4 linked regions of the Astyanax mexicanus genome follow. Each later gene encodes a partner of the first gene's protein in a complex. Links are inferred from orthologs where the notes say so. Each region holds a gene or a part of one and is shown in the gene's direction. Other genes may lie near its edges.

Region 1 (7,317 bases):
AAGTAAAGCCTAATACCGGCTTGAAAGATTCAATCTCCAGTTCAACTCGTTTTCTGGATTCCAGAGCCTCCTCGTATTTGACCTTTATCATTTCCAGTTGCCCTGCCATGGCTTGCTTGGCAGCAATGGCAAGGTCCTTAAAAAGGATAATACTGAATTAGGATAGGTACATTCCTTTGGTGTACTTAAGAACTTAAGGTTTAAAGTCAAGATTTAAACATTAAAATTTCGCTCTCTCACCCTCTGAACCTTCATCTGATCAGCAATCCTTCTCAGCTCTCGCAGCTGGTCTTCATACATCATGCGCAGGCCTGAAGGCTTCACAAAACGGCCCTTCAATGTGTCAATTTCAGTCTCCAGCAATTTATTCTGTTGCTCCAGAGAACGGACCTTTAAACCAAGTAAACCTATATCAGTTCTTGTTGTTTCACTGAAAATGTCTTATATGTCAAAATAAAATGAAAGACAGCATTTGTGTTGTACCTTCTCTATGTACACAGCCAGGCGGTCATTGAGGGTGACCATCTCCTGTCTCTCAATTGTACGTGTGCTCAGGAAGGCCTGGTTGGCAGCAGCCGCAGCTTCCAGATCTAGACCTGATCCAAGACCCATGCCAACACACAGAGCGCCCATACTTACACTGCTGAAAAAAAAAAAGAGTACACACAAGACAAATTCAGCATAGCAAGGGGGAATTACTGGCCCAAAAGCTCTTACATACACAGAGAGTACTGGAGAGGAATAGAGAGAAAAAGGTCTGTGCATGTTCTAAACTGGTGTGTGAAAGTGCTAAACATTCTGTCATTAATTCTTATGAGGAAACAATGCACAATACAATGAACTCTTTTATCTGATTCTTTCATAAAGCATAAAACTTTGCTATTAGTTATTTTATTGAGACAAATTTGGTGTTTACTCTTTAGAGAAGTCATATTTTTGGTTAAAAGCAAACGCACAAATTTCAATGCATTCCTATGGAGGAGTTTTGTAGTTGAATGTGAGTTTATATTTAAACAATTGCGGTCAGGGTTAACCGGATAGAAAATATAAAAAGTATTGAACTGTAAAATACCAAACAACTTTACCTGGTCATGCGTGGAGTGCGTGTACCAGAAAGTGCACGTCGGCTGGTGCGTGCACGGCTGTAGCTGGCGGAGCGCCGAGTCTCGCGGCGCACTGGAGACGGGCTGGAGACTCGGATGTGGCAGGAGGAAGATGAGGCCAGCGCGCCCTCAAAGTGGCGGCGGTAGGAGGACATTCTCTCTGGGCTTCTGCTCATACTGAGACCAGCAGGGATTCTTCTACAAGACTAAAGCAGCACTGCAGCTTCTCATCAATACTGGGGTTTATATACAGACCCTCTGATGGACCCAGCCCACCATGGAATGTTGAACCTCAGTCTGAGATCATGCAGAAGACCCCAAACATCTCACAGCCAGCTGACAAGAACCTCCAGTGGCAAAAATAGAGAAGTGAACACTATTACACCCTGAACTGTTCACACGCAGTACCTACTATCAGAACCCCTCTTCTGTTTTTCATATACACTAAATACCCCTGCTGATAAAAGACAGCCTGGCTATCTAAACTGCTTAGGATGGTTAATCAAATCAGCTCTTGCCTTGCATAAAGCATAAAGCTATCTCACATAGTGAGGAAGTGGAAGCCAATAGGATCAGTTCTAGTTAAGGCCCAAAGTGGCAGGCCAAGAAAAATCTCAGATAAGCAGTGGAGAAGGATGGTGAGAACAGTCATAGTCATCCCACAGACCAGCTCCAAATACCTACAACATCATCTTACTGCAGATTGTGTCACTGTGCATCGTTTAATTATTTAGCGCACTTTGCACAAGGAGAGGCTGTATGGGAGAGTAATGCAGAAGAAGCCTTTTCTGAGCACACGCCACAAACAGAGTCACTTCAGGTATGCTAAAGCAAATTGTTGGTATAAGGTTGGTATAAGGTGCTATGGACTGATGAAACTAAATTGAGTTATTTGGAGAGTGGTATGCATGGCGGAAAAAGAACACAAAAACTTGCTACCCACAGTAAAATTTGTTGGCGGTTCATCATGCTTTGGGACTGTGTGGCCAGTGCAGATATTGTTAAAGTTAAGGGTTGCATGGATTTCAGTCAATATCAGCAGATTCTTAAGAACAATGTTTAAGAATCCGTGACAAAGTTGAAGGTGCGTCAGGGCTGGATACTTTAACAAGACAACGACCTTAAACACTGCTCAACATCAAGTAAAGCATTCATGCAGAGTAACAAGTGCATAGTTTTGGAATGACCATCACAATCCCCAGACCTAAATATTATTGAAAATCTGTGGTTTGATTTAAAGCGGGCTGTTTATGCTCTGAAACCATCAAACATGACTGAACTGGAGATGTTTTGTAAAGAGATCCAAAATGCAAAAATACCTTCAATCAGAAGCCAGACTTTCATTAGAAGCTATAGGAAGCATTTAGAGGCTGTTATTTTTGCAAAAGGTACTAAATATTGATTTATTTTTTTTTGTTGGGGTGCCCAAATTTTTGCACCTGCCTAATTTTGTTTAAAACATTTTGCACACTTTCTGTAATTCCTTTAAACTTAACCCTTTCATGCATAGAGATCACTACAGTGTACAGCTGTTTAAAATTGTTTTTTCTTTAAATATGCTTGCAATTTTGGGCACTGCTGCATATAGTCCACTGTAGTGGAAGCTATTGCATCATCCTATACAAAAAAAATCCCATTGGTTGGTCATTGTAATGGGAAAAAGAAGTCAATGAAATCAAGATGGCCGGCAGACAGGGAAAACCACCAAACACCTTGGCTATTTTTGTTTCTACCTTTTATAAAATTATATCACTGCAGGTAAAAAATATATAATTACATCAAGTAACATCTAAGGTGACATATTATGTAAAGATTTTCGAAATTTTGATTTTATATTTGAGGGAATTGTAGATTAATCATCTGTCCACTTAATTGTACATCATGCATCATTAGCTATTTTTCAACTTTTATGCAATGTCAATTACTTCCAGTGTTGTTTTTAAAATAATTCATATTGTTTAATGTTTTGGCTGTAAATCAACTTCTTTAATTGAGGAATGTCTGCCAGTACAGACAGTTGCAAGCAGAGAAGTAGGGTCAAGCAGTGATAGTGAAGGTGAGTCTGGAAATGTTACTGAGGGAGTTGAGGCTGAGGAACGGAGATGAAGGAGATGAGGCTGTTGAAACTAAGGGCACCCCAATATCCAGTATGCCCCTGGAAACCACTGGCCCCAGCTCAAGAGAGTATAAAATGCCAGCACACGAAGAACCAAGTACATCTGCATGCAGTGTCTTGTAGCTTTGTGCCCTGTATGCTTTGGCAACCATCATAGAAAATAGTCTCAGAAATTAGCAACAAGCATGATTTGACAGGAAATATGATACATGCTATAAACTACTATAAGAGAATATGCTCACTTAACAGTCCAGAGACTTGACAAGAATACAGTATGATAATACCAGTCACAATCAAGATTCTATAAGGTTCTACAGTTCAGAGACATTTTCTTGTGTCACAATATCCTCCTCAGTTCCACTATTCCAACAGAATACCATATTACAACTGTATAACTGAATTACATTTGTGTTTTTTTTACAACAAAAAATGCATGAAGTACACTTGAGTGGACAGATAAATATTTCTTTATCGAATAAAGATAGAATATATATTTTTTTCAAACCTTGTTTTACATCCCTAAGGATGTATAAAAACACTTAGAAAAATCCTGACTGAGTTTATTATAATTCATGCATGAGAGGGTTAATTTCACTTCTCAAATATCACTGTGATAGCAATTTATACCATTTTTCTTTTGAAACCACAATTTATCATTTAGTTTGGAGATTCCCACAGCTACACCACCTCCTTTAGATTTTCTATCAATTCTATAAAGGCTACATCAGCATAATTAATGGTGTGCTTAATCCAAGTTTATGTTAATTCTGTATTTTTTTTCCAACAAACATCTAAAATTATTTTAATGCCTTTCTGTCTTTAAAAAACCAACAGAATCCTTTATATAGTCTATGAAAAGCTTTGGTTGGGAATACACAGGCTTAGGTAGAGGATCAATGTAAATTAGATTGTTTTTGCTTATGAAAACATTAACATGTTCTCTTATACTTTTACTTTAAAAAGCTGGTCCTTGGTTTAAAACCAGTAACTACCAGGATATCTAAGGAACAGTCACTAGTAAAGCACTATGTGCTCTACTCCTCTTAAGCAGGTTTTCCGGAACCAGGATTAAGACCTTGTTGTTTCTGGCCGGACTGTATCTCGGCGGACGCAGGAGAAAGGGGGGTTGATTTTCAGTTGCTCCACTGGTTTTAGTAGACACTTGAAAACTGGCGATTCAACCGGTTTAAATTCAGTTAAGATCATATTTCCTACTTCAGCTCGAGCACAATGGCTGGAAACTTCTGGCAGAGTTCACACTAGTAGGTGTTTTAGGCTTTTCTTATTTTCTTTATTGTTGTTTCTGTTCTGTGTTTCACGTCGCTAGCTAAAATAGCTAAGCGGCTAATGCTAACGGCACTAATGTGTTCTAAGCTTTGTTTTATGTGTTTTTAGATATTAATATGTCTGCAATATGTATAAAAATATGTATAAAAGTGTGCAGCCTGTAAATAAGAGTGGGCAGCCCAATCCAAAATCGTTGTTAATTGAACAGAAAGCTGATTCCTGCTGTGTTTTTCAGTGAGCTAACTCTAGCTAACGGTAGTTAGCAAAAGCAGTTAGCATTAGCTAGCCAGTGTGGTTAGCTTTACTATAGCTGTGTGTTTAGTTACTGTCTGAGCCTGTAACTCCCTTCATTAAGAGACAGCAGTGAGGACAGCTGATAGAATAGAAAAGCTGTAGAATAAAGGCAATGTGTTGAGCCTGCGCTCGTCTTGCTGTCGGTTAATGTTATCATTCAGGACACTTGCAGTAACTTTTCTGTAATTTCGTGTTATTTTGGGCTAATTGGTAGGAACCTAGTTAACTAACACATATTGAAGAAAGAAAACATTAAAGTATGCCATTAGACAGTGGGCGTTTTAAATCGTGGTGCTCAATTTCTTATCTTCTTTTTATTTTGCAGATTGCTATTTTACAGATTTACAGATGCTAAAGATTTCGTACTATGTATATGTATACTGTACAGAAAACATTCATAATAATAACAACATTCAAAACTGATATGTTATAAAATGAAATGGAAGCACAGCATAAGGACATATGCACTTCAAACAGAATTATTTTCACTATGAATGTGGATTGGGAGATTTGGGATGATGGGACTTCTTTGTATCATCAGTAGAATAAATATCCTTAAGCCTCTAATGTCGTGTTTTTTTAAACTGCAAAGCATTTTGGGGTGGTACACCAGATGATTTTAAAACATTTAATGCATGCACTAAAAATTAATGATTAGAATTTATTTTTTTTTTATTTCTAATAGTTCTAGTTCTAGTAGTTAGTGTAGTAGAGGTGTTAGGAGAGTAAGTGCTCTTTATAGAGCTCTGGCTTCAGGAGTTTATTAAAGATAGCGAGAGATTCTCCTGATCTGGTAGTGGAAGGCAGATTGTTTCACCTTTGTTTACCCTGATAGACCCTGCATATAAGCTTACACTTCAGTTTCTCACAGCAATTAGTTATCCTAAGTTTTAAGGGTGCTATGTAGACAATACGGGACACAGTTAGAGTTACAATAAAATAAACCAGAATAAATACGTTGTCATAATGTAAAACCATGCTGTATTTGTAAAAATATGACTTAAACAGGTTACTTTCAATCAATAATAACAGGGGAGTCTTGTGTTCCCGGGCTTAAACAAAACAGGCCTACTTGGAAATACTAATTCCAGGTTTGCAGTACATAAATTTAGCCCTAAATTTTCTGCTTGCCATACATTCAATATCTAAGTTGTTTCTGTCGTTTTCTGTTGCTCATTCAATATTGGTTTCTTTGATTAATCATTCTGAGAAAGGAATGTAGCACTAAGACTAGTAGCAGTCTGGTGTTCTGGAAATACTTAAATTGTTTTTAATGTTGTACATTACTGATTAAAAGTATAATTTTGTCTTTGTTATTAGCTTACAGTGGGTGCTGGATAAGCAGGACCTGTTGAAAGAACGTCAGAAAGACCTGAAGTTTCTCACAGAGGAGGAGTACTGGAAGCTGCAGATATTTTTTGCAAATGGTATAGAACAATGTATTGTTGAAATATATTTTTTTATTTATTTTTTTCTCAGAACCAGCAAGCTTTTTATATTATCCATCCCCTTTTCTCTCAAACTGTGTTAAACCTACTTTTGTAGATTTTGTTAGCCCTGTCTAAATAATGATGGTGTCTGAACTGAGATATATGTTGAAAAAGCCTTGTTTTCTGTCAGTGATCCAGGCCTTAGGGGAACACTTGAAACTTAGGCAGCAGGTCATCGCCACCGCAACTGTGTACTTTAAACGCTTTTATGCAAGGTGAGACCATCCCCACAATTACATGTACACATTCTTGAGTAATTCCATGCTGAAAAATAAAAGTACTGCAACAATAACAACAAAAAAACCTATTGTAAGGAAAGAAAATAGTGTTTTTATATACGCCTTTAAGTTAAATCACAGAATGTGGTGAATAACATTTTATATGTGCATATAAGGTTTTTTTTTTTTTTTTTTTTTTTTTTTTTTTTTAATAAAAACCTGTATTTGGTTTGTATAGTTGATTGTTTTGGCATGAATTTCACCAAGGACAAGAACAAACCATCCCTGCCCAAGGAAACTGCACCAAGCACAGGCAAAACTGTATATAAAGGACTAGTTCCTATATGTTTCTGTTTATATGTATGCCAGCATGTGAAGACAGTAAACTGCAGTGAGTATCCAAAACTTCCTGGACTTATAATATGTGAACACATCTCCTGAAAACACTTTAAGTAATAAAAGCTGCCATTACACGTTACTATCCAAAATGTCAAGAAAGATCAGTGTGCAAGTTGTAGATCTATCTAAATGGATCAAATGTACCTTTCTCAGGGCAATAACAACTTGTACCTTGTTTTACTTTTTACATGATTACAGATTAGATGATATAATCTCATTAGCAAGGCAAAAATCTACTCTTGGTGTGCGTATTGGTGTGACATATTAATGTCAGTTGAGTTGCAAAATATGTGGTGTCTGGTCTTTGATAGCGCTCCTGTCCTTACTGTTGCTCAATTTGGAAGAAATGTTTTAAAATAATTTTAGAATCATTAAAAAAAAATTCAATAGTTCTGTAACCCTTTTTTTAT
Region 2 (7,059 bases), about 39 Mb from region 1:
CCATAATGATAAAAAGATTAACTTAATTTGAAATGTCTCTATTTAAGTTGCACATATGATAACTTGTCATTATAAATAAAATTAGGTATATCTGTATTTTTAATTTACAACCAATTACAGATGTCAGACCAAAAAAGCTTACTATAATAACATTTAACAAATAAATGTTCTATTGATTATCTCTCTCCAGAGAAAATAGTGCAGGGGCTCATCTGAAATTTGAATATATATATTAGGTCATTAACTGGGTACACTGCTGTTACAATTTTAGCTTTGGGAGTAATAGGACATGATGAATAAAAACAAAAAGCTTGTCGTTTCATATATTCTCCCGTGAATAGCATGAGTTAAAGTCATCAAAAATACATTGTTTAAACAACTTACTTATTAGTCTAATTAGTATTTTTTTTAATCCAAAAGGTTGATATCACCAACCTTTATAGTAGAAAAGGAAGGTGCAACAGGGAAGGATTTAATACTATTTTGAACCAGCTGAAGTAAGGGAATAGGAACTGCTTTACAAATGTATCATACCCCTTGCTGGAGACAATTTTATACATTTCAGTACATTTTTCCATGGATAAAATGACCACCTGAATTTGATATGTTGAGAACAAAAGTTGTCGGCTCTAATGCTGCCGTATTACGACTTTATTCTCAAATTATTACGACTTTATTCTCCTAATATTAGACTTTACTCTTGCAGTGAACTGTTTTGATGCCCTAATGTCTTTTGTTGCTGTGTTTTCCAGTGCAGTGGGCGGAGCTAAGGTAAACTACCACGGTAAAGTTAGTTTCATTTTTGATATTCGACTTTTCGGCTCTAATAACTTCTGAACGGAGGATGGTAGCCAGCAGATACTTACATAATCAGGACAGTACGACCACAGAGAGTGACGCACACCCTTCCTTTTACTGTTTGGGTGAAATTTGCGCAACGCCCTTTTAGCGTTAATACCGAAAAACTAAGCGCACTTTTCCTGTCAGAATAAAATGCATGTACTTCTAGACCACCTCTACTTCTGTACACACTCATTTATTTACCTCCAAATCACTTCAGTGCATAAAAATGCCTATTAATGTTCCCACATAAGAATAGATGGCTTTAAGAAAAAAAAACACCAATAGCTCCATATCCTTAGGGTTCATACACATCAGAATAACGGGGATGTATACTTTGAGTCATGAGGAAAATTGCACACCCATTAATATTATGCAAAATGCTCTAATTTTTTATTATATTTTATATATTCACAAATTCAATAGCATTTCAGCAACTGTGTATGTCACAGCTAGGTGGCAGCAGACACGCACACCATTTATATTTTGGATACAGTGCCAATTCTAGTGAATATTACATTTTATATATTTGAAAAATCAATAGAATTTAAACCGAATTACACAGAACACTAAAAATAAGTGTGTATGATACAGCTAGGTGTCAGGAAACACAAACAATCTTTGAAATTTGGATACATTGCCAATTCTACTAATTATTAAATTATATACATTTTAAAATGTAATAGCTTTCAAACCGAATTACACAGAACAATAAAAACAAGTGTGTATGATACAGCTAGGTGGCAACAAACACACACACGCTTTATATTTATGATACACTGCCAATTCTACGAATGATTAAATTTTATATATTTTAAAATGTAGTAGCTTTCAAACCAAATCACACAGAATAATAAAAACAAGTGTGTATGATACAGCTAGGTGGCAGCAGACACACACACCATTTATATTTTGGATACAGTGCCAATTCTAGTGAATATTACATTTTATATATTTTAAAATTCAATAGCTTTTACACCAAATCACACAGAACAATAAAAACTAGTGTGTATGATACAGCTAGGTGGCAACAAACACACACACACACTTTAAAATTTGGATACATTGCCAATTCTATTAATTATTAAATTTTATATATTTTAAAATGCAATAGCTTTCAAACCGAATTACACAGAACAATAAAAACAAGTGTGTATGATACAGCTAGGTGGAAACAAACACACACACACTCTTTAAAATTTGGATACATTGCCAATTCTATTAATTATTAAATTTTATATATTTTAAAATTCAATAGCTTTACACCAAATCACACAGAACAATAAAACTAGTGTGTATGATACAGCTAGCTGTAGCATACACACTTGTTTTTATTATTCTGTGTAATTGAGTTTAAAAGCTATTGAATTTTAAAATATATATATAATTTAATAATATGTAGAATTGGCACTGTATCATAAATATAAAGCATGTGTGTTTGTTGCCACCTAACTCTATCATACACACTTATTTTTAGTGTTCTGTGTAATTCGGTTTAAATTCTATTGATTTTTTAAATATATAAAATGTGATATTCACTAGAATTGGCACTGTATCCAAAATATAAATGGTGTGTGTGTCTGCTGCCACCTAGCTGTATCATACACACTTGTTTTTATTATTCTGTGTGATTCGGTTTGAAAGCTACTACATTTTAAAATATATAAAATTTAATAATTCGTAGAATTGGCAGTGTATCATAAATATAAAGCATGTGTGTGTTTGTTGCCACCTAACTCTATCATACACACTTGTTTTTATTGTTCTGTGTAATTCGGTTTGAAAGCTATTACATTTTAAAATGTATATAATTTAATAATTAGTAGAATTGGCAATGTATCCAAATTTCAAAGATTGCGTGTGTTTCCTGACACCTAGCTGTATCATACTTATTTTTAGTGTTCTGTGTAATTCGGTTTAAATTCTATTGATTTTTTAAATATATAAAATGTAATATTCACTAGAATTGGCACTGTATCCAAAATATAAATGATGTGCGTGTCTGCTGCCACCTAGCTGTGACATACACAGTTGCTGAAATGCTATTGAATTTGTGAATATATAAAATATAATAAAAATTTTGAGCATTTTGCATAATATTAATGGGTGTGCAATTTTCCTCATGACTCAAAGTATACATCCCCGTTATTCTGATGTGTATGAACCCTAAGGATATGGAGCTATTGGTGTTTTTTTTTTTCTTAAAGCCATCTATTCTTATGTGGGAACATTAATAGGCATTTTTATGCACTGAAGTGATTTGGAGGTAAATAAATGAGTGTGTACAGAAGTAGAGGTGGTCTAGAAGTACATGCATTTTATTCTGACAGGAAAAGTGCGCTTAGTTTTTCGGTATTAACGCTAAAAGGGCGTTGCGCAAATTTCACCCAAACAGTAAAAGGAAGGGTGTGCGTCACTCTCTGTGGTCGTACTGTCCTGATTATGTAAGTATCTGCTGGCTACCATCCTCCGTTCAGAAGTTATTAGAGCCGAAAAGTCGAATATCAAAAATGAAACTAACTTTACCGTGGTTCAAAAACTGTGCAACAAAACATGATATATCTTTAAAAAATATATATCTTTTGTAATATAAGATATCTTTGTAATGGACGCAGGGTCTGAAAGGGTTACATTTACAATGTAGAAAATTACAAAAAAAGAAAGAAAGACTTTTGACTGGTACTATAGTTTACTATAGGTATACTAGTAAACTATTTTTGTGGTGTTCTGTCGAGTTGTGCTACCTTGTCAAACCTTGCTACCATAGTAGTATTTAAGGTAAAAAAAAGCACCAAATTAAACCATACTAGAGAATACTCCCAGCTGATAGGTAGGATAGATAGGTAGGATAGCTGATAGGTAGGATAGACGTGGTAGGCTAAATCACTGTATCAGGCAGGGTTAAAAAATAAAGTAATTTACGTGATTAGAACCCTATTTTTTTGTTTTATAGCTTATGATTATTTTTTTACTTACCGTTAATATTTTTTTACTGCTATTAAAAGTTTTAAAACATTAAATCAAGTTGTTTAATACTCCCAATAAAAACGTAATGAATTACATTACAAAAAAAATGAAAAATGTCCGTAAAAAAAGCACATATCTATGGATAGCATAACTCGACACAACACCCGGCTTTTAAACCTTCCGATTTAAATCCATATCAGGGTCTTTTAATTTGCCGGGTGTTTTCCCACAGTTCCGCTGGCTGTTGATTGGAGCGGGGCAGGGAGCGGAGCGTCGCTGGCTGTAAGCCGCTGTCGGGTATCGCTCGGTCGGATCGGGGACGGACGGACTCGGCCCGGGCTGCTATGCGGCTGGGACCATGGCGGCCTTCGGGATGTTGAGTTACGAGCACCGGCCCCTGAAGCGACCCAGACTCGGCCCTCCCGACGTTTATCCCCAGGACCCGAAGCAGAAAGAGGTCAGAGCCCGTCTTTACACACAGAGTCAGTCCACAAAGAGCCGGAGCGCTAGCCGGAGAGCTACGCTAACCTAGCTAACCGAGCACCACCAAACCCCCGGGCCTTCAGCAGCGCCCGCTAACCCGCAACAATACCGGCCTAACCGGGCTAAACCCGACCCGCCCGGTCCGCCACAGAGCCCGGCAGCAGGCTGAGATATAGCCCTGCCTGTGTAGCAGCGCTGTGTTCACTTTATATAAATAAAAACACGAACTGGACAATAATAAACTGCTCAGAAACAGAGCTGCTAACTTACTGCAATCCTGAGCGTTTTCCTACTCAACCCCCATCCAAATAAAATACCGAGGAAAAGAGATTAATATAAGGAGATTTGGGTGTTTCAGAAACGGCTAAAGTGCTTAAAATTATTAGGAAATTGACGTTAAAAACGAAATTTAATTCTGTGTCAGTTAACGCTGGCTGAGCTATCTGGGTTAGCTCGTTAGCTGAAATCTGTCGGCTGCTGTTTGTTGACAAGTCGTATCTAGGTTAGCTAACAGCTAGCTAACAGTAACTTGCTCACTGGCTATCTAACATAATTGATCTAATTTACACAAAGCTAAGCTAACATGCTTATATTATGTTTTTATATCGAAAACAACCGTAAACACAACGTTATATAAATCATATAATCCAAAGTTAGCACGCAGAGTGTGCAGTGGTAATATAACATTCCAGCAGGAACACCAAAAAATGCAAGTTGGTCTCGTTAAGTTTCCGTTTGTCTTCACTATATCCAGTGCTTCTAATTTGGCACTGTGCTGCTAAGCCTAAATGTTTGGTTAACCTAGACAAGTTTGCATTTTATTGGTGCAGCTTGAATCTCTAGGAGACCATCTTTAATGTGTCTGATTATCACATTAAAATCATGTCCAATTCATTCCTATATCTCGTATTCTTAAAGCCTATTGTGCCATTTTACAGAGATGGAGATGTAGCTAGCTAAGAAACAATACAGAAAATAAACATAGCGTTATATATATATCATATAATCCAAAATAATCCAAAGTAATAACTCACTACAGTTTAGAAATATACAACAAAATACAGTTATACAATCCCAGCAGGAATACCAACAAATGCAATTTGATCTCAGTAAGTTTTTATTTGTTTATTTATTCAATACTTCAAATTCGGCACTTTGCTGCTGAGCCTAAATGTTGGGTTGAGTTTCCATTTTTGGAGATCTTTGCCAGTGTTCTATTGGTGTGCAGATTGAATGGGTCTGATTATCACATTAAAAGTCAAGTCCATTTGATTCCTTTACCGGTCTTATAGCCTAACTAATGTGCACAGAGCAACAGAGATTTAGATTTAGGAAAAAAGAAGTGAAAGAAAAGAAACCTATAAAGCATAAGTGTTATAACATTTATTATTTTTAGTTTTATTTTTAAATTTTACATTTTTTTTAACTGAACTCTTTTTAATTCTATGTATTTTTTTATTGTCATTTTTTCCTTAATGTAATACTTGTTAACAGATTGTGATTGTTAAGTGTCAGAGGTGTTGCTCTCACCAAGTCAAGTTTGATCTTGTTCAGTTTCTGTTTTTTTGGAGATATGTGCTGGTGGTCTGTTGGTGTGCAGCTTTGAAGTGTCTGTGTGATCATGTATCTAACTAGCTTCTTGACTAACTGGATAATTATATAGGTTATATTACATTTATTATTTCAAACCATTTGTGTAGTTATGCAGTACTTCTTATCTGGCATTGTGCTGCGTGCTGAGGGTTAAATGTGCAAAACTTTTGAACATGCATTCATGCTGGTGGTGTGTTGATGCTTTAGTGCATCCATTAAGTTAATAGTTAAGTCTATTTTATTTACTGAGATTCAGATGTTGACAAACAATATTTTAAATGTGTTATCCAGAGTAAACAACCCAAAATGAGCAGTGGTAATGAACAACTCCCTTCAAGATGCATAAACACTAGGAATGCTGCGAAATTATTTATTTTGCATGTAACTGAACATAATGGAAACATGATCAAATAAAATGTTGTTTCAAAAATATTTATTGAACACTGAACAGTTTTGACATGTCATATTAAATTGACTTGTGTGATCAGATAGGTCTATGCATTGGTAATAAATACCCATCTAAAATCATTATCGAACATGAAAGACACTATAGACATTTTAGGTTAGTTTGTCTAATTGTGTGTATGACTAATGTGTTTGTTGACAAGTTGTGGCTACCTGACTACCTTTTTGCCTACTGTGCTATACTACACTACTGGTATTATTACTATTATTTGACACACAGTATGTTTGTTCATGCAGTACTACTAAATTTAAGGGCTTCTGAATGCAAATACTGTGTTAAATATGCTTATTTTTTGGAAATACATGACAGTGGTCTGTTGGTATGCATCTTGAATAATTGTATACCCTCACAATCTTAAGTGTGACTGTGGTGTCACTCTGAAAGTCAAATATTTTTTTTTGTAAAGCTCCTTTTGCAATTTAATATTCCTATGAAGTGGCTTCTCAGAGATTCACGTTTAAAACGACAGAATGAAGACCAAATGTGGAAGTGGTTAGGAATAGCTCCCTAAAAACTGCATAAATACCAAGACATTTTAGACCCATTATACATGTTTTATACGACAAAACGTTTTAAGATCTGTAGGTGGTCTGGATTGGAGTCTGGAAGACCATCCTGAGAGTCTTTCATGCTTACCTTGTTTGTTCCAGAGTTTTCAGTTTGGTTTGAAAGCAGATGTGAAAGGGGCTGCGAACCACAGTCCAGACCAA
Region 3 (7,317 bases), on another chromosome or scaffold:
TTTAATAACATAGCTATTTGTCTACTGCTATGTACCGTGATTACATTTGGGTGCGCATTTCCATGGTGATCCACCTAAACACAACAGTGAGTGCAAACGGAGGAGCTACTGAACGCAATGTCACATGACCGAGAAAGCCAAAAAAAACTCACTGGTCCTCCTGTTTTTTCAATTGCAGTCCGGATGCAGGAGTTTTATCACTGAGTAGAAGTGTAAAATATTTTTCACAGACATGCCCCTGAGAAACTTATCCCGTCTGGATAGGGCTTTACAATAAAAATTCCTTTAAATGTGGTCAGTATTTCTTGTTAGTTTATGTGGTTAGTGGTGTTTGTTAGCTCTGCTGAGTTGCTATGTTAATACTCGCTGTACTGGGTTAATGTACTCTCGAAAGGGATAGTGGAGTTAAATGTTTTGGAGCTGGGTTTAACAGTGGCTTTAATGCATGTCTGCAACCATGCCAATGCTTCTCGCAAGGAACTTCAGTATCCTGTGACAGAGGAGTCTCGCAAAGATCTGCTGTAATCCTTCATTTGGGAATATAATCTGATCCAGACACTATAGGAAGTGTGTTGACTGCAATAAAGCAAATGTGTAAAGCAGTTTATTGCGACTAATTTAAAAAACAGCCATCAGCATAAGAAGACAACTCTTTTTTTTGCCATTGTTGCCTCTTTGTTTCTGTTTTTGCTATTTTACAATTTTTGGGGGTTATTATTTTTGACTGCCAGTGTATTTTTACTCTTGATCTTTTTACTTTTGATACATTTGATCTTTTATAAATGTGGTATTAAACTGCGTTTCCCTCCTCAGGCCAGGACAGGTATTGTGATGAACATCATTGGTATCCTGTGCATCACCCTGGCGATAAACAGTTGGGGCAGACCTCTGTTTGGCTTGGACTCCTTTCCCAGTTGGGCTAACACCACAGGGGTGTGAGAGACTGGACACAGCACACAGCCAGCACAACAGATTACTCACACACCAACAGCAGCCCCCTCGACTGCACTTAAAGCTAAGAAGCTGAGGGTGGCGCCTTCATCACACCTCTGACGGGTGTCACTGGAGGAGCCAGCACATCCTTACCTGCTCTTATACACTGTGACAGTGTGTCATACACATACTTTATCAGTACAGATGTAATATATAATCTGTGTACAGCAACTACCTTATATAAATATGATGGTGATGGCAATAATTTTTTACATTTCATTTATTACATAAAACCTTATGAAGGATACTCATGGAAACCGGTGAGACTGAGAATCATATTTGTATACAATAAAATATTTTTCTATTTATCTTTAAACATGTATATGCATAAATATATATGAATACTGTTTGTTTTGATTAGATAGGACAGCTCAGGACGGCTCTTTATATTACAGCCTTTGGCCATGTGACGTTACATATAAATTTGAATATGTTTCACATGGTAGTCTCGACTTATATTAAATCAAATGTGATGGAATGTTTGTAATATTAAAAAAGTTTAATATTTTTTGTGTCTTCCTGTGTTCTTATTTTAAATCTTATGCAGACAGAGAAACAAAAGATCTACAGTGGAATTCAATGTAAGACGTTTTTATATGAAGTACATTTTGGAACAATTCTGTATCAAACCCTCAAACAGCCCAGCATCAAAAACCGTCATTCAACAATAGCTGATAGAACCATGTAGACAAGAGATTACTTTACAGTAATGTTTACATTCACAAATGACACGCAGAAATTTACTATTCAATGCAGAATCACAACAGGTGGATCATCACACAGTGGAATCATGTTTTGTGGTCAAATAAGTCAGTAATCCACATATTTATTGGAAGAAATGGTTGCTGTGAGCTCTGATTCAAAAATGAAAAGAATCAATCAGACTATTATCATTATCAAATCCAAAAGTCATGGTCTATCACAGTATGGGGTTGTGTCAGTGCATTTTTGTGATGCAGCATTAATGCAGAAAAGTACGCTAAGTTCTTAGTGCAACCTTTAAAACAACATTTTTTCAAGGCACGACCAAAACTACATGCTGCACACATTACACGAATCTAAAACAAAAAAGAAAAATGACAAAGACTCCATACTGTTGTTGCACATTGTAAGACGTGTCTGCAGGAAGTATAGGACAAAATAACACCTGAAACAATTTTATAGCTTGTTATCATCAGTGACTAGAAAAAGAAATGGCAACATGACAAGGTAGGAACGTGTTGCAGGAATGGATGTATATTAATAAATTAATTGATGTTAACCAGTTAAATCATGAAAAATATTGAGTGCACATTGTCTGCAATTAAACAAAAGTAAATGTAAGACAATTTTGTTTTGTTTTTTTATTATTTGCATTTTCCGTACTGTTCCAAGTGTTTCTGATTTGGGGTTGTATATAAAACACCTGTTAAATTAAAATTGTCAAAAAGTGAGAAGATTTTTGTATGACAGAAATAAAAACAATTGTATGTTACAGCAATTCAAGTTTATTTAATAATATATTCTTTATTATAATCACTGTGTAGAGCTACAGTACCAGTCACGGCGGTGCTGCCCTCTACTGGTCATATTTTAGAATATGCCAACAGATTTTTTTTTTGTTTGAAACAGATACGTTTCATTCAAGTATGAGTAGAATAAATCAAGGACTTACTTTAAACATATAATAAACATGATTTTTGTAACACTACTAGAACATGTTTTTGTTTTAAGTCAGGGTCCAGGTGAATACATGTACATTACAGATAATATAAGTTTATACTATAGACTATGTTTATTTTTCTCTATAACTTTAAGAATTTAATTAGGCAAGGTGCGCGCTTTTACGCACGGGGCGTGCTTTTACGCATGGAATGCACTTTTACGCACGGAATGCGCTTTTACGCACGTAACACGCTTTTACGCATGAAATGCGCTTTACGCACGGGATGCGCTTTTACGCACAGGACGCGTTTTTACGCGCGGAATGCGTTTTTACGCACGGAATGTGTGCTTTTACGCACAGAATGCACTTTTATGCACAGGGCGCGTTTTTACGCACGGAATGCGTGCTTTTACTCATGGAATGCGCTTTTACGCACAGGACGCGTTTTTACGCACAGAATGCACTTTTACGCACAGGACGCGTTTTTACGCACGGAATGCGTGCTTTTACGCATGGAATGCGCTTTTACGCACAGGACGCGTTTTTACGCACAGGACGCGTTTTTACGCACGGTACGTGCTTTTATGCACAGGACGCGTTTTTACGCACGGAATGCGTTTTTACGCACGGTACGTGCTTTTATGCACGGAACGCGTTTTTACGCACGGTACGTGCTTTTATGCACAGGATGCGCTTTTACGCATGGCGTGCCATTTCATATTCAGTAATAAATACTCTTTTCATCTATTTATGCTGTAACGTGTTGATACTGTTTGGTGCTTTTCCAGCAACAAGCAACACTGCTAATGTGGAGAGTTTTACATTACCCAAGCTCTCTTACACTCTTAAATACATCAGTGTAACAGTGGAGAATCCAACCATTTATAAACTATATGTTTCAGTTAACTAATCTGTTTTATACATCATCCCTGTGATGGTAGAAACACTTCAAAACACCAACTTTACATGAGAAAAAATGCTCTTAACTTTCAATAGAAGTCACTATAAAATGACACTTGCAGATCCAGAAGAACATATTTGGAGTACATGGAGATGCACAAAAGGACACTTGGAGCACTAATGAAGCTAGTGCTGTAGCTGCCAAGACGTCTACAGCCCAATGCTAGCGGTTTTGAGTTACTTGCGTCTTCAGGCAACATGTTGTCTACCAATAAAATACCTTTTAGGAAACAGTGTGCACCGGGGAGCATTTTTTAGGATTACTAATACAGAGGCTATAAAAAAGGCTATGTGTGCAACTCTGAACTTATCAGACTCGAGATTAAAGCTTTTAAGCTTTAATTATAAACATTTTGTACGCGTTCTCATTTTGAACTGTATCTCCAGCATCAGCTCACCAACCAATCAGCTCAGAGTAGCAGTAAAAAACATTTCTTGAAGAAAAACTAAAATATAAAGGTAAATTGTATCTGCTGTTTTATTACAATAATTTATTATTCTTTATAAAATGAAATGAATATCACAGATAAATAGTTAATTACTATTTTTAATTTGAGTTTTAGCTGTTTAGCTTCATTAACCCCCATTCATTGAGGACTCCCTTAAGGGCTCCCTCTAGCGGTTCTCAGTGATATACAGATATAAAGGGGGTATAGTGTGAGTGGGCGGGCTCTGGCTCTGACCATACCGTCATCACGTTCCTTCCCGGAACTTACGTAGGAGGAATATGGCGCTGGGCTAGACAACACAAAACGGCTTTCAGCGCATAATTATATTATTATTTCAGTAAATCCGGTTTGTTTGTAGCTGTTATTCGCATTTAAGCGGTTTAGTTAAGTCGTTGTTGTTTTAGTTTGTCTGTGTGAGATGGCTGGAGTCCTGGAAACAGGTTTGTATAACAGCTTTTCCAGCAGCAACTTCTTTATTTAGCTCGGTTAGCTTTAGCTACCTAGCCTTAGCTTGCTTATTTTGCCTTTAACCCTCAGTGGCTTAAGTTTATATATACAGCTCTGGAAATATTTAAGAGACCACTACAGTTTCTGAGTCAGTTTCTCTGATTTTGCTATTTATAGGTAACTTATATGTTTAAGTAAAATTTAACATTGTTGTTTTATTCTATACACTACGGACAACATTTCTCCCAAATTGTAAATATAAATATTGCCATTTAGAGCATTTATTTGCAGAAAATTTGAAATGGCTGAAATAACAAAAAAGATGCAGAGCTTTCAGACCTCAAATAATGCGAAGAAAACAAGTTCACACCTATAAAGTGTTAAGAGTTCAGAAATCTATATTTGGTGGAATAACGCTGGTATTTAATTAAAGTTTTCATGCATCTTGGCATATTCTACTCCACTAGTCTTACACACTGCTTTTGGGTAACCTTGTGCCACTCCTGGTGCAAAAAAATCAGATCAATTCAGTTTAACTTTGATGGCAAGTATATCTTATAAGGCTGCAACTAGCAATTTTTTAGGTATTTGATACATTTGATTAGCCGATTAGACCGAGCTGACTGTAAATTAAGTGCCCTTACCCACAGTGCTTTTCCCCCCCAGCACTTTGTGTACACCATGGCAGTTACACATTTACAAATAATCAACACTAACATTTTAAGTTGACAGACTGGGGAATAGAACCTCACAGGTTTTAATGTTTTCTGTAAGAATATTTTGAAAGTCTGATAGCTAGCTGGTCACTGTTATCAATATTCATGATAACGTTCTCTAAACTCTTTCTTTCCATACAGAGGAGCAAGCAAGAAACCGCTTTCAGTCAGAACTGGAGTTTGTTCAATGTCTGGCCAACCCAAATTATCTTAACTGTAAGTTACATTTCTGTTAATGTCTATTTTTATTGAAGGTACTTGCTTTAGTAATGGGTTTAGCTATAGTTTGTGGACACCCTTTTAATTAATGCATTAAAGTACTATAAGTTGCACACATTAGGATGTTGAAATCCTAATAAATACACACACTTATGGAGCTACAGTACAATTCCTGTAGAAAATGATTGCCAGTAGAATAGAACTCCCTGGAGTCTTAAATTAGGGGATGGCAGGAAAGCTTACTTGTTTCTTTACTGCTCACACTGTCTCAGAAGGCAGTGTAGTGGTAAAGATCTCTGTGATGCAGTTAGGGTTGCAACGGTATGAGATTTTCACGGTATGATAACCGTCTCAGAAAATACCGCGGGATAACGGTTATCACGGTATCACAGTTTGTTACATATATTATTAAACTGACCCTTAAAGAAATGACAACAAAGGTTTTTTGTTCAATTAACTATTTATTGTATAAACTACATCATCAGGTGAAAGAAACCAGGGCAGTGTATATATAAAAAAAGTTGGTATATAACCAGATACTGCAGAAAGAGGGGATTTATATCTGACATGATCCTCACATTAGATATTTCTATTTTAAGGCTTTCACACCTTAAAACCTTCAACATATGAAAAACAGTCACGTCAGAATTTGAAAATGAACGCATGTAAATGAATGGCGTCTTTCACATCCAGTCCGGCCAGGACCTTTACACGGACACGTGAATCCATCGTAGCACGCACTTCACGCCTGTACCTGCGTGCCCAAATTTCGGATAACTCAGCGCTTTTGCGGGCGCTTACCGCATGGGTTGTGCACGACTACAAAGAGGTTTTATTTAGGTTCAGATTAAAATTATAAACTAAACACATACTTTGCGCTGCACAGCGGGGTGGTGTTCTCGGAGATGGGAGAACAGGTGTATTTCCTCCTTTAGCTGTGACTTTACGGCCACATTGATTACAAGCTTGTTGATTACAAGATTACAAGTCTGTTTTCGGGCTGTTTGAATGAGCGAAATATGATCAGAATTATGTTAATTAACACTAACATAGAAGCATAGAACTATTATTTAATTAAAATGATTTTTAAGAACAGCTAAACACAGTGCGGAGAAGTTCACGTGCGAGAGAGAGACACAGAGAGAGAGAGAGAGAGAGAGAGAGACACAAGAGAGAGAGAGAGATTTGCGTGTTCTTGTATGAGCTACTCACAGGTAAAGGTTCTCTTTGATCTCCTCGTGCTCATATTTTAGTCCCATACATAATTCTGCAGTTTCTCAGTGTTTTCTGTCGTATTTTGCGGCTAGCGCGAGCGCTAACAACTAACACCGCGGACCGCGAGGTGCCGCCGCGCTGCCGCTGTTATGCCGAATCCGACTCCCTGCTGAATCCGACTCCCGCTTCGCGGACAGAATCGGCACAACACCTCCCGCTGTAGAACTGCGGGAGTGAAAACAGCGCTTATAAATAAGTTAGTTAAGTTTCACTTTCAGTTTTCATTATTTGGTTCGTTTTCATTAACAATATTAATTGGTTACTTAGCAACATTGTGATTATCACACCAGAGCTTTATTTAAAAATAAAATATATGATTAAAAAACAGATGCCTACATCTCAGACTATTTTCTGGAGCCCAACCCGACCCAGCCTGAGGAATGTGGTGGGAAATATCGGCCCAGGTCTGGTTCGGGCAGAGAATCTAAGAGAATCTAAGCTCTAGTCTGATGCACTTTCTGCCATTCTCACCGCTGTGTGCTGAGTAGCTGAAGCGGAGCAGAGTTGCGCATGCGCGGGTGAGTTTCTCCGCTGGCTTGCGTTTTACCGGTAATAAGCAAACACACACGGTATGATAACCGTGCATTTTAATACCACGGTATACCGTGAAACC
Region 4 (7,970 bases), on another chromosome or scaffold:
TTGATTTTACCAATTATAATCAAGAGGAAGATGGACGATCACAAGCCATCAAACCAAGCTGAACTGCTTGAATTTTTGCATATCTGCCTCTGCAGCATCCTGGGGTGCGTTATCTTGTTTCTCAGTGAGCATATATGTATATGAAATTGTGAACCAGGCTGCTTCTAAATTAACTCACCGTGTGGCCTGGTACATGGCGGCAGCCGTCCACTTCTCCGGATCTGTGAGGTAAAGCACCTGCTCCCAGTTTGAGAGCGCTGGGATGATTTTAAAGGCTTTGGGCAGCTTCCCACTGCGATACCTACAAAGAACCTGAAACAAAAGAACAAATATCGATCATAGATAAATCAGTGATCAAAATAAACTGAAATACAGCATGTTTTAGAGCTGCACAAAATATCATTTTATATACAAGCTCATTAAATCACACCATAGTACATGCAATTTTCCTAAAAGCTTTTCGCTGCTTGATACAAAGAAAAATCAAATTTTACGTGACTATATCCACTATATTAACAATTACATCTACCCAATACCATTTTTTGACTCCAATCACTGATACACATATTGTACTATTAATATTATGGCATTTTAGATTATTGACTTAATTCACTGACACTGAAATTTGGATAAAATTCCTGATACTCATTGCAACAAATATTGTACAACAAAATTTCACAATGTCAGGTTTTTACCCCCATATCATGCAGACCTAGTATGTATTACAAGAGTAATAAACTTAATTAATTTATCCTGAAGCTCATAAAAAAAAATCTCTAGTAAAGTGGCCAGATAGAAGCAGCACAAGGTAGGTGTGTCTAATAAAGTGGAAAATAGGTGTTTCTGATTAAGTGGTCAATGAGAGAAAGCACAAAAAAGGGGTTGCCAATAAAGTGGCAAAAGAATGTAGGCACAAAACTGGGGTTTCTAATAAAATGGCCAATGAGTGGAGGCACAAAAGTAGGTGTTTCTAATAAATTGGCCAGTAGGTGGATGCAAAAGGTAGGTGTTGCTCAGTCTCACCTTACTGACTCCTCTGTACACTTCAATCACCCTGGGGTCCAGCTGTGGATTGGGCATCCCCGACACCTCCGACATCACAGTGCCCACCTCCGTCTGCTTCTCTGTTAACTTCTCCATGATTATATCGGCTAGAGTGCGCCTTTACAAAAAAAAAATAAATACATTAAAAATAATTTTTACTATAAACATTGATATTTCTCTTTAAAATGAAGTTTGTGAACATGTTCAAACAAATATATACCAGCAAAATACAGTCCTATATTTAAACAAATCCAAATACATAAAGTAAAAATAAGATCAATTCAAATCAAATAGTTTTGCATATGTACAGGACTTTTAGAGGATTGAAATTACGTTACTCTCCTTCCCAAAAATTACAGCAAGATAAAAAAATATATAAATATAAAAATGAAAGACACTAAACGTACAATACGACATGGACACAGAGAGACATACACGAGACAAGAGACACAAGACAATAGTGCAATAGTGATGGGGGGATTAAAAGGAAATGACAGCACTGTGTTGTAAACAGAACAGAACCTGTATAAACATCAGTGCAAATAAAAGTGCACTAAATACTTTCACTAAACATTATGTTATTTATCTTTCAAGTGAATATGTTTGGAAAAATATATATACCAGCACAGTGCCATGTTGAAAAAAAAGTTAAATACATTAAGTAAAAATAAGATAAACTAATAATATGTTTAATTAGAGAGAATGATTTTTGTTGTGCTTGTTGCAACAATATATTTGCATGGAAACAACCAAAAAGTATGATGTTTTTTCCAACATCCATAAGGATACGCGTGCCTATGCTTTATATTGTGTGGTGTGGCATAGGGATGGGACTAAATATTGATCAGAGATATAATTGCATCTTTTTTGTTTGCAACTACTTGAATTTCTTGTCTCTTAATGTGTTTGAGAGCATCAGTTGTAAAGTAGTGAAGAGGTAGAGTTACAGGTATACAGTGAATAACTCTATTTGAGTACTGTTCTAATCCAGATTATGAGAAGCAAGAAATACTCAACTAAGTAAAAAGAAAAAATACTTTATGACTAAGAAATTAAGTCAATCTAAAAAATTTCAAGAACTTTGAAAGTATCCTTTAGCGCAGCCGCACATCAAAGCGATATGATGAAACTAGTACTCAACAGGACTGCCCCAGGAAAGAAAGAGCAAGAGTACATTATTAATAAGAAGAGCCACACTGCCCTATAGTGGAGCAGCCACCTTGCACTGTTACCCTTGTTGTCCAGGTGTTCTTTACCTCACTGGTGGGTTTTTGTTCATGAACATCTGTATGGCTTTTTCATCATCCGGATCCACCTCCACCTCAGCAACCGCCCCCACCTCATGATCCTCTGTTCCCATGGCACCCAGCTCTGGCCATTCCTCATCAGAGTCTCCATCCTGAGTATGTGGACCTGCAAACAACACATACTGTTAATAATGATAACAGCAATCTATAATGATTTCAATAACATAAAATAATCAGATTTATAACTTTACAACTAGGGCCATATCATATCACAGGCAATAATATTGCCAACATTTTCAAATACAGTTAACGATATTATACCCTGAAATATTGTACCATATCACTCACCACTAATTATCACATTAGGGTACTACTTTTTTTTTTTGCTGTTTTTAGCAAAAGAAAAATTCACACTGTTCTCATTTTACATTATATATCTACTAGAATCACTTGAAGACGGCAAGAAATTAAAGTTATTTTCCAAGATGTGTAGAGCTGTCATCAAAGCAAGAGGAGATACTTTGAAGAATGTAAAATATATAAAACATATTCTGGTTTGTTTAACACTTTTGTGTTTTTCTGCACAGTTTGGAAGACTTTATTATTAAATTACATTGGGGAACATTTTTGAAATAATGAAAAGAAAAAAATAACACTGAATTTAAGGTGACCACAACAGAGCACTTAGCTTGTGTGGTGGGTGGTTACTCGCAGTAATAGCACTGATTAGCATGGTGGTGGTGTATGAGGTGTTAGTGTGTGCTGAGCTGGTACAGTAAGTTGATCAGATACAGTAGTGCTGCTGATGGTTTTAAACACCGTGTTTAATCTCTCACTATCCTCCACTCTATTACACACTCCTACCTACAGCTGATTAGGGCTGCAACGATTAGTCAATATCATTGACAATGACGATTTTTAAAAATTTGTCGGCTCCAAATTTTCGATGTCGACTAATCGTCAATTAGTAGCACTACACAAATTACTGGGGACAAACACAATGTTAGAAGGGTAACTGGGTCTCCAAAAGAGCCCAATCACAACAGATTTCACATTTCCTCACTAAAGATCAGCACCTTCCATATTCAAAAGACAATGTTCTGGATATGTAAAGGGCATTTAAATCCCATGTTTAGCTGTTTTCTATCGTTTTGAACCAATAGTGAAAGCTAGAAACAGAAGCTCTACCAACAGCAAGCAGAGGGGAAGGCAGAAATAATCATTGACTAATCGAATAATCTGAAAAATATTCAGAAGATTAGTTAAATATTAAAATAATCATTAGTTGCAGCCCTACAGCTGCTCCACCTTACAGATAATGTAAAATTAGAGACAAAATATCTGAATTTGTTGCTGCACAGTTTATTTTTTTGTTATTCTTAATCCAGCAGTGACACTGAGGTGTTTAAAAACTCAAGCAGCACTGCTGTCTCTGGTGGTGGTCTATCATGTGATAATATTAATGTATACACGTTTATTTAACTTGCCCAGAACAGTAGAAGGTTTCTTCTTGGCCTCTGGTGTGACTCCGAACTCAGTCTGCAGCTCTTCTTGCTGAATCCGAGCCTGCTCCAGAATCCTCCTGGAGAGCTTCTCGTCCACATAGTCCTCCTCCTCCTGTTTTCTGCCCCGGTTTTTGACCCGGCTGTTGGTTCTGATGGTGTCGGACTGAAGCAGCTGATCGGCCAGGGCTACAGAACCTCCGGCCCGGTCCGGTCCACCACCTTTATCCCTCTTTACCTTCGGCATGGCGACAGACTGCTCAGATATAAATGGAGTTTTAAGTTCTACCAAAACCCTCTGTCGCACACACGTGGGTTTCCCTCAACGCTAATGGAGGTGAGGTAACGCAGGGGGTGCTCTGCCGAAAACTGACAACGCCGAAAACTGCACCCGTAGGACCCTTCGGTGGCTGGTTAGATGTGCCTGATGTAAAAGCGATTTTTTTTTTTTACAAATCTTAATTCTTTTGGTAACATATAGGGTCTCATGCTGTATTAAAATGAAATTTACACAGCTTTATTAGCTAACCACATCAATCATTTTATTTACTACATAACGTGCATTTATAATTTTTTTCTTTTAAATAGTTAATACATAATGTATGTTTTTTTTTTTTTTTACTATATTAATATTATATAATTTTTTTCAGTTTTTGATCACTTTTATACCATTTAAGTCATAATTATATTTTGTACTATTTAAGGACAGGCTGAGATTTATTATTATTATTTTTTTTCAAATTAATAATTTTAATAATAATTTTAGTGTGCAATTTTAGTTTGTTGTATATATTAATGCGTGTATAAAATTGACATTAGACGACTTTAGAATGACATATACACAATTATATTACATAAATGATTTTATTTGCTACATAGCGTGCATTTAGATATTTTTCTCTTTTTAATAATGTATTTATTATTATTTCCATTTTTACAGACCAATTGTTAGTCGTTAACTATTTTTTTTATAATATACATGTTTTTTTTTCGAGGAAAGACTAAAAAGATCATATTCGCCAATACAAATATTAGATTAAAAACTAAACAGAATTATATGTTTTCTTGATCATGTATATTTACATTTACAAAAGTATCTTGTCTTTCCTTTTTGTTTTATGTTGTGTTAATGTTTGTCTTTATAAAATGTTAATAAACTTTTCCAAAAAAAGGTCATTCTAATCAGGCGGTGTGACCGGAAACCAGTGAGTGCAGATTGAGTTGGAATACAGATTAGTATGCAGCACCTCCTTTTAAATATCGACGTTTATTTAATTTCTCCAGGTAATAATAGTTTTAATGTGCGAAAACATTTTGTTGTATATATTGATGCATGTATATGAAATTTAAAATTGTAAAAGTTGACATTAGACGACTTTAGAAAGACTTTTATTTTGTCAGTATCCGGATGAAGTCTGGCTGGGTGTTTTGAAGCTGTTGTGGCCGCGCTGTGCAGAGATGGGAGTTACCTGGTAAGAAGAATAAATGAATAAAAGAGTTCAGTTTGGCGATTTTTACTGGTTTCCCGAGATATAAAGAGTATTAATATATTTGTAACTGACATGTGGAGATTTTCTGTAGATCAGGGTTTTTCTCTTTATGCTGCCTTTGTGATCTAAACCAAAAACTGCTGTTCATGAACCAATATTTGGTGGAATAACCCTGTTTTTAATCACAGTTTTCATGCATCTTGGCATCATGTTCTCCTCCACCAGTCTTACACACTGCTTTTGGATAACTTTTTGCCTTTACTCCTGGTGCGAAAATTCAAGCAAGTTCAGTTTGGTGGTTTGATGGTTTGTGATCATCCATCTTCCTCTTGATTATATTCCAGAGGTTTTCAATTTGCTAAAATCAAAGAAAATCATCATCATAAAGTGGTCTCTTATTTTTTACAGAACTGTGTATATTTTTGAAATTACTAAAATATATATATTACATTACATTACATTTGGCAGACGCTTTTGTCCAAAGCGACTTACAATAGTCAAGTACAATGTAAAATAAGTTTCAAGGTAAAACATCTTTGGATAGGGATAAAAGGAGGACACAGGGGAATAATAGGATAGAGGAGTGAAGGAGAGGAAGAAGGAAATGAGGTTAGAAGTAGTTAGTGTGTTAGAGGTGTTAAGAGAGTAAGTGCTCTTTGAAGAGCTCTGTCTTCAGGAGTTTATTAAAGATAGTGAGAGATTCTCCTGATCTGGTAGTGGAAGGTAGTTAGTTAGAGGTGTTAGGAGAGTAAGTGCTCTTTGAAGAGCTCTGTCTTCAGGAGTTTCTTAAAGATAGCGAGAGATTCTCCTGATCTGGTAGTGGAAGGTAGTTTGTTCCACCATTGGGGAACTCTGTATGAGAACAGTCTGGATTGCTTTGTGTGAGTTTTTGGCAAAGCGAGGCGACGTTCACTGGAGGAGCGCAGCGGCCGGGAGGTAGCGTAAGCCTTCAGGAGCGAGTGCAGGTAGGAAGGAGCCTGTTCTGTCACCGCCTTGTAGGCGATTGTAAGAGCTTTGAATTTGATGCGAGCATCAACTGGTAGCCAATGGAGCTCAATGAGCAGCGGGGTGACATGTGCCCGTTTTGGCTGGTTGAAGACCAGACGTGCTGCTGCGTTCTGGATCATCTGGAGATATATATCATCTGGATCATCTGGAGATATATATATATATATATATATATATATATATATATATATATATATATATATATATATATATATATATATATATATATATATATATATATACTCCCCTACTTAAATAAATACACCCCTACTTAAAATGCACTGAAATAAGTAAGTTTAACTAGTTCCCTAGTGTCCCTGATTATTTCTCAGCTTTTTAATTATGTAATAAGTAGTGTGCAATAGAGCAGGACTACTTTTTATACTTTGTACAGTAGCATACCTGTATTCCAGTGTGTGTGTGTGTATGCGCTGTAGTGTGTGTCAGGTGCCGGTGGCGGAGGGGAAGAGTGTGCAGCAGACGGTGGATCAGCTGCATAAGAAGCTGGAGCAGCTGGGAGGAGTGAAGCAGGGCAGCTTCTTTGTGGACTGTGAGACGTATCACACCACAGGGAACGCCAGCGGTAAATACACTGTATATAAAATACCACCATAAACATAAAAAGTACTAACCCTTTGTTGAATAGCCTACCTCCACTCTCCCATAGCTTTCTGAGATACATTAATTTTGTGCTTTTTGCCCAGCACTCTTCACAACGGCTGCTTTGGGGCATCCACTTACCGACTGGTAATTTGCTTTTAACACCGTTATCCAGCTCAAAGTAGCTCCACATCTCATTGCTAGAATCTGAAGAGCTCTAACGTTTAAAACAAGGCATTAAGAGCTTTAAAAATGCACAAGAATCTTGTTAAAAACCTAAGCCCGAAGCTTCCTGTGCACTTTTTAAATTTCTAAATGCCTCGTTTTAAATGTCAGGGCTCTCCGGAGTCTAACAATGAGGTGTGGAGCTACTTTGAGCTGGATAACGGTGTAAAACTTATTTATCTGCAGGGGCAATGGATGCCCTGAAGCGCACGTTATAAAGAGTGCTGGGAAAAAGCACAAAATTACTGGATCAAGGAAAGCTGCAGGAGAGCGGAGGTGGCCTATTCAACTAAGGTTAGTACTCTTTATCATGTTTTACTACACTAAAACTAAATGTTACCTCAATTTGACCAAGATTGAGGTTAAATCCCTTCAGTCTTCAGTGCCATGCGGCACTTTAGGGGCCGTAGGAAAAATACCGGGCAAAATGAGTAAGAAATAACTCTATTTAACTTTCACAAAATGTGACCTTGTGATACAAAATCAGTGGCAAAATATGTGTACATTTTTTCGTATTTTACCATTGATTTGACAACGAGGCCACATTTTGAGTAAAGTTAAAGGAGAAATCTGGTTTGAAATGGACTTGGGGTGAAGTGAAACATGATGTTCACATTTCACACTTAACATTTAAATAGAGTTATTCACTGCTCATTTTGTCCAGTATTTCCCTTTTCCCTTCTACTGCACTTAGTAAAATAAAAAAGTGAATTTCAGTAAAGATTGTTAAATGAAAAAGGAAAGACTAAGGCTTTAGCTTGTTGTTTTTCATCATTTGAAGAGCCCCTGCTTACAGGCAAATAATGATATATGTAACACATAATTATATATATAACGTGTGTGTGTGTGTATGT

Evidence for each region.
Region 2: the proteins of ccnc (region 1) and med12 are in contact, whole or in part, in a cryo-EM structure (PDB 8TQC), measured with the Homo sapiens proteins. The link is inferred for Astyanax mexicanus from reciprocal best matches to the Homo sapiens genes CCNC and MED12. Residues at the interface, in NP_005181.2 of Homo sapiens: Gly3, Asn4, Phe5, Trp6, Gln7, Tyr11, Ile15, Asp17, Gln19, Asp20, Lys23, Gln49, Glu53, Leu57, Arg58, Gln59, Ile62, Tyr153, Arg157, Pro158, Gln161, Tyr162, Asp165, Leu173, Pro174, Trp177, Arg178, Ile179, Asn181, Asp182; in NP_005111.2 of Homo sapiens: Ile6, Leu7, Ser8, Tyr9, Glu10, Pro13, Leu14, Lys15, Arg18, Leu19, Pro22, Asp23, Val24, Tyr25, Asn47, Pro49, Ala50, Val51, Asp54, Glu55, His56, Gly57, Ser58, Ala59, Lys60, Phe64, Pro66, Ile69, Asn72, Phe73.
Region 3: ccnc (region 1) and med31 share a complex: the UniProt entries of both Homo sapiens proteins name them as parts of the mediator complex. The link is inferred for Astyanax mexicanus from reciprocal best matches to the Homo sapiens genes CCNC and MED31.
Region 4: ccnc (region 1) and med20 share a complex: the UniProt entries of both Homo sapiens proteins name them as parts of the mediator complex. The link is inferred for Astyanax mexicanus from reciprocal best matches to the Homo sapiens genes CCNC and MED20.

Annotation. Positions count from the first base shown.
Region 1 is NC_064409.1:30,314,779-30,322,095, reverse strand, and holds the start of ccnc (cyclin-C), read left to right. Parts: upstream 1-4,303; 5' UTR 4,304-4,449; coding exon 4,450-4,481; intron 4,482-6,120; coding exon 6,121-6,227; intron 6,228-6,420; coding exon 6,421-6,505; intron 6,506-7,317. Other genes in the region: ngs (notochord granular surface), read right to left, coding at 17-136, 241-390, 484-643, 1,086-1,279. UniProt on the Homo sapiens protein: Component of the Mediator complex, a coactivator involved in regulated gene transcription of nearly all RNA polymerase II-dependent genes.
Region 2 is NC_064409.1:69,523,043-69,530,101, forward strand, and holds the start of med12 (mediator of RNA polymerase II transcription subunit 12), read left to right. Parts: upstream 1-4,051; 5' UTR 4,052-4,165; coding exon 4,166-4,264; intron 4,265-7,059. UniProt on the Homo sapiens protein: Component of the Mediator complex, a coactivator involved in the regulated transcription of nearly all RNA polymerase II-dependent genes.
Region 3 is NC_064424.1:13,288,080-13,295,396, reverse strand, and holds the start of med31 (mediator of RNA polymerase II transcription subunit 31), read left to right. Parts: upstream 1-4,301; 5' UTR 4,302-4,465; coding exon 4,466-4,487; intron 4,488-5,351; coding exon 5,352-5,426; intron 5,427-7,317. Other genes in the region: slc13a5a (solute carrier family 13 member 5a), read left to right, coding at 814-939. UniProt on the Homo sapiens protein: Component of the Mediator complex, a coactivator involved in the regulated transcription of nearly all RNA polymerase II-dependent genes.
Region 4 is NC_064431.1:31,841,678-31,849,647, forward strand, and holds the start of med20 (mediator of RNA polymerase II transcription subunit 20), read left to right. Parts: upstream 1-4,970; 5' UTR 4,971-5,077; intron 5,078-5,194; 5' UTR 5,195-5,251; coding exon 5,252-5,265; intron 5,266-6,728; coding exon 6,729-6,874; intron 6,875-7,970. Other genes in the region: bysl (bystin), read right to left, coding at 179-312, 1,024-1,162, 2,301-2,457, 3,779-4,040. UniProt on the Homo sapiens protein: Component of the Mediator complex, a coactivator involved in the regulated transcription of nearly all RNA polymerase II-dependent genes.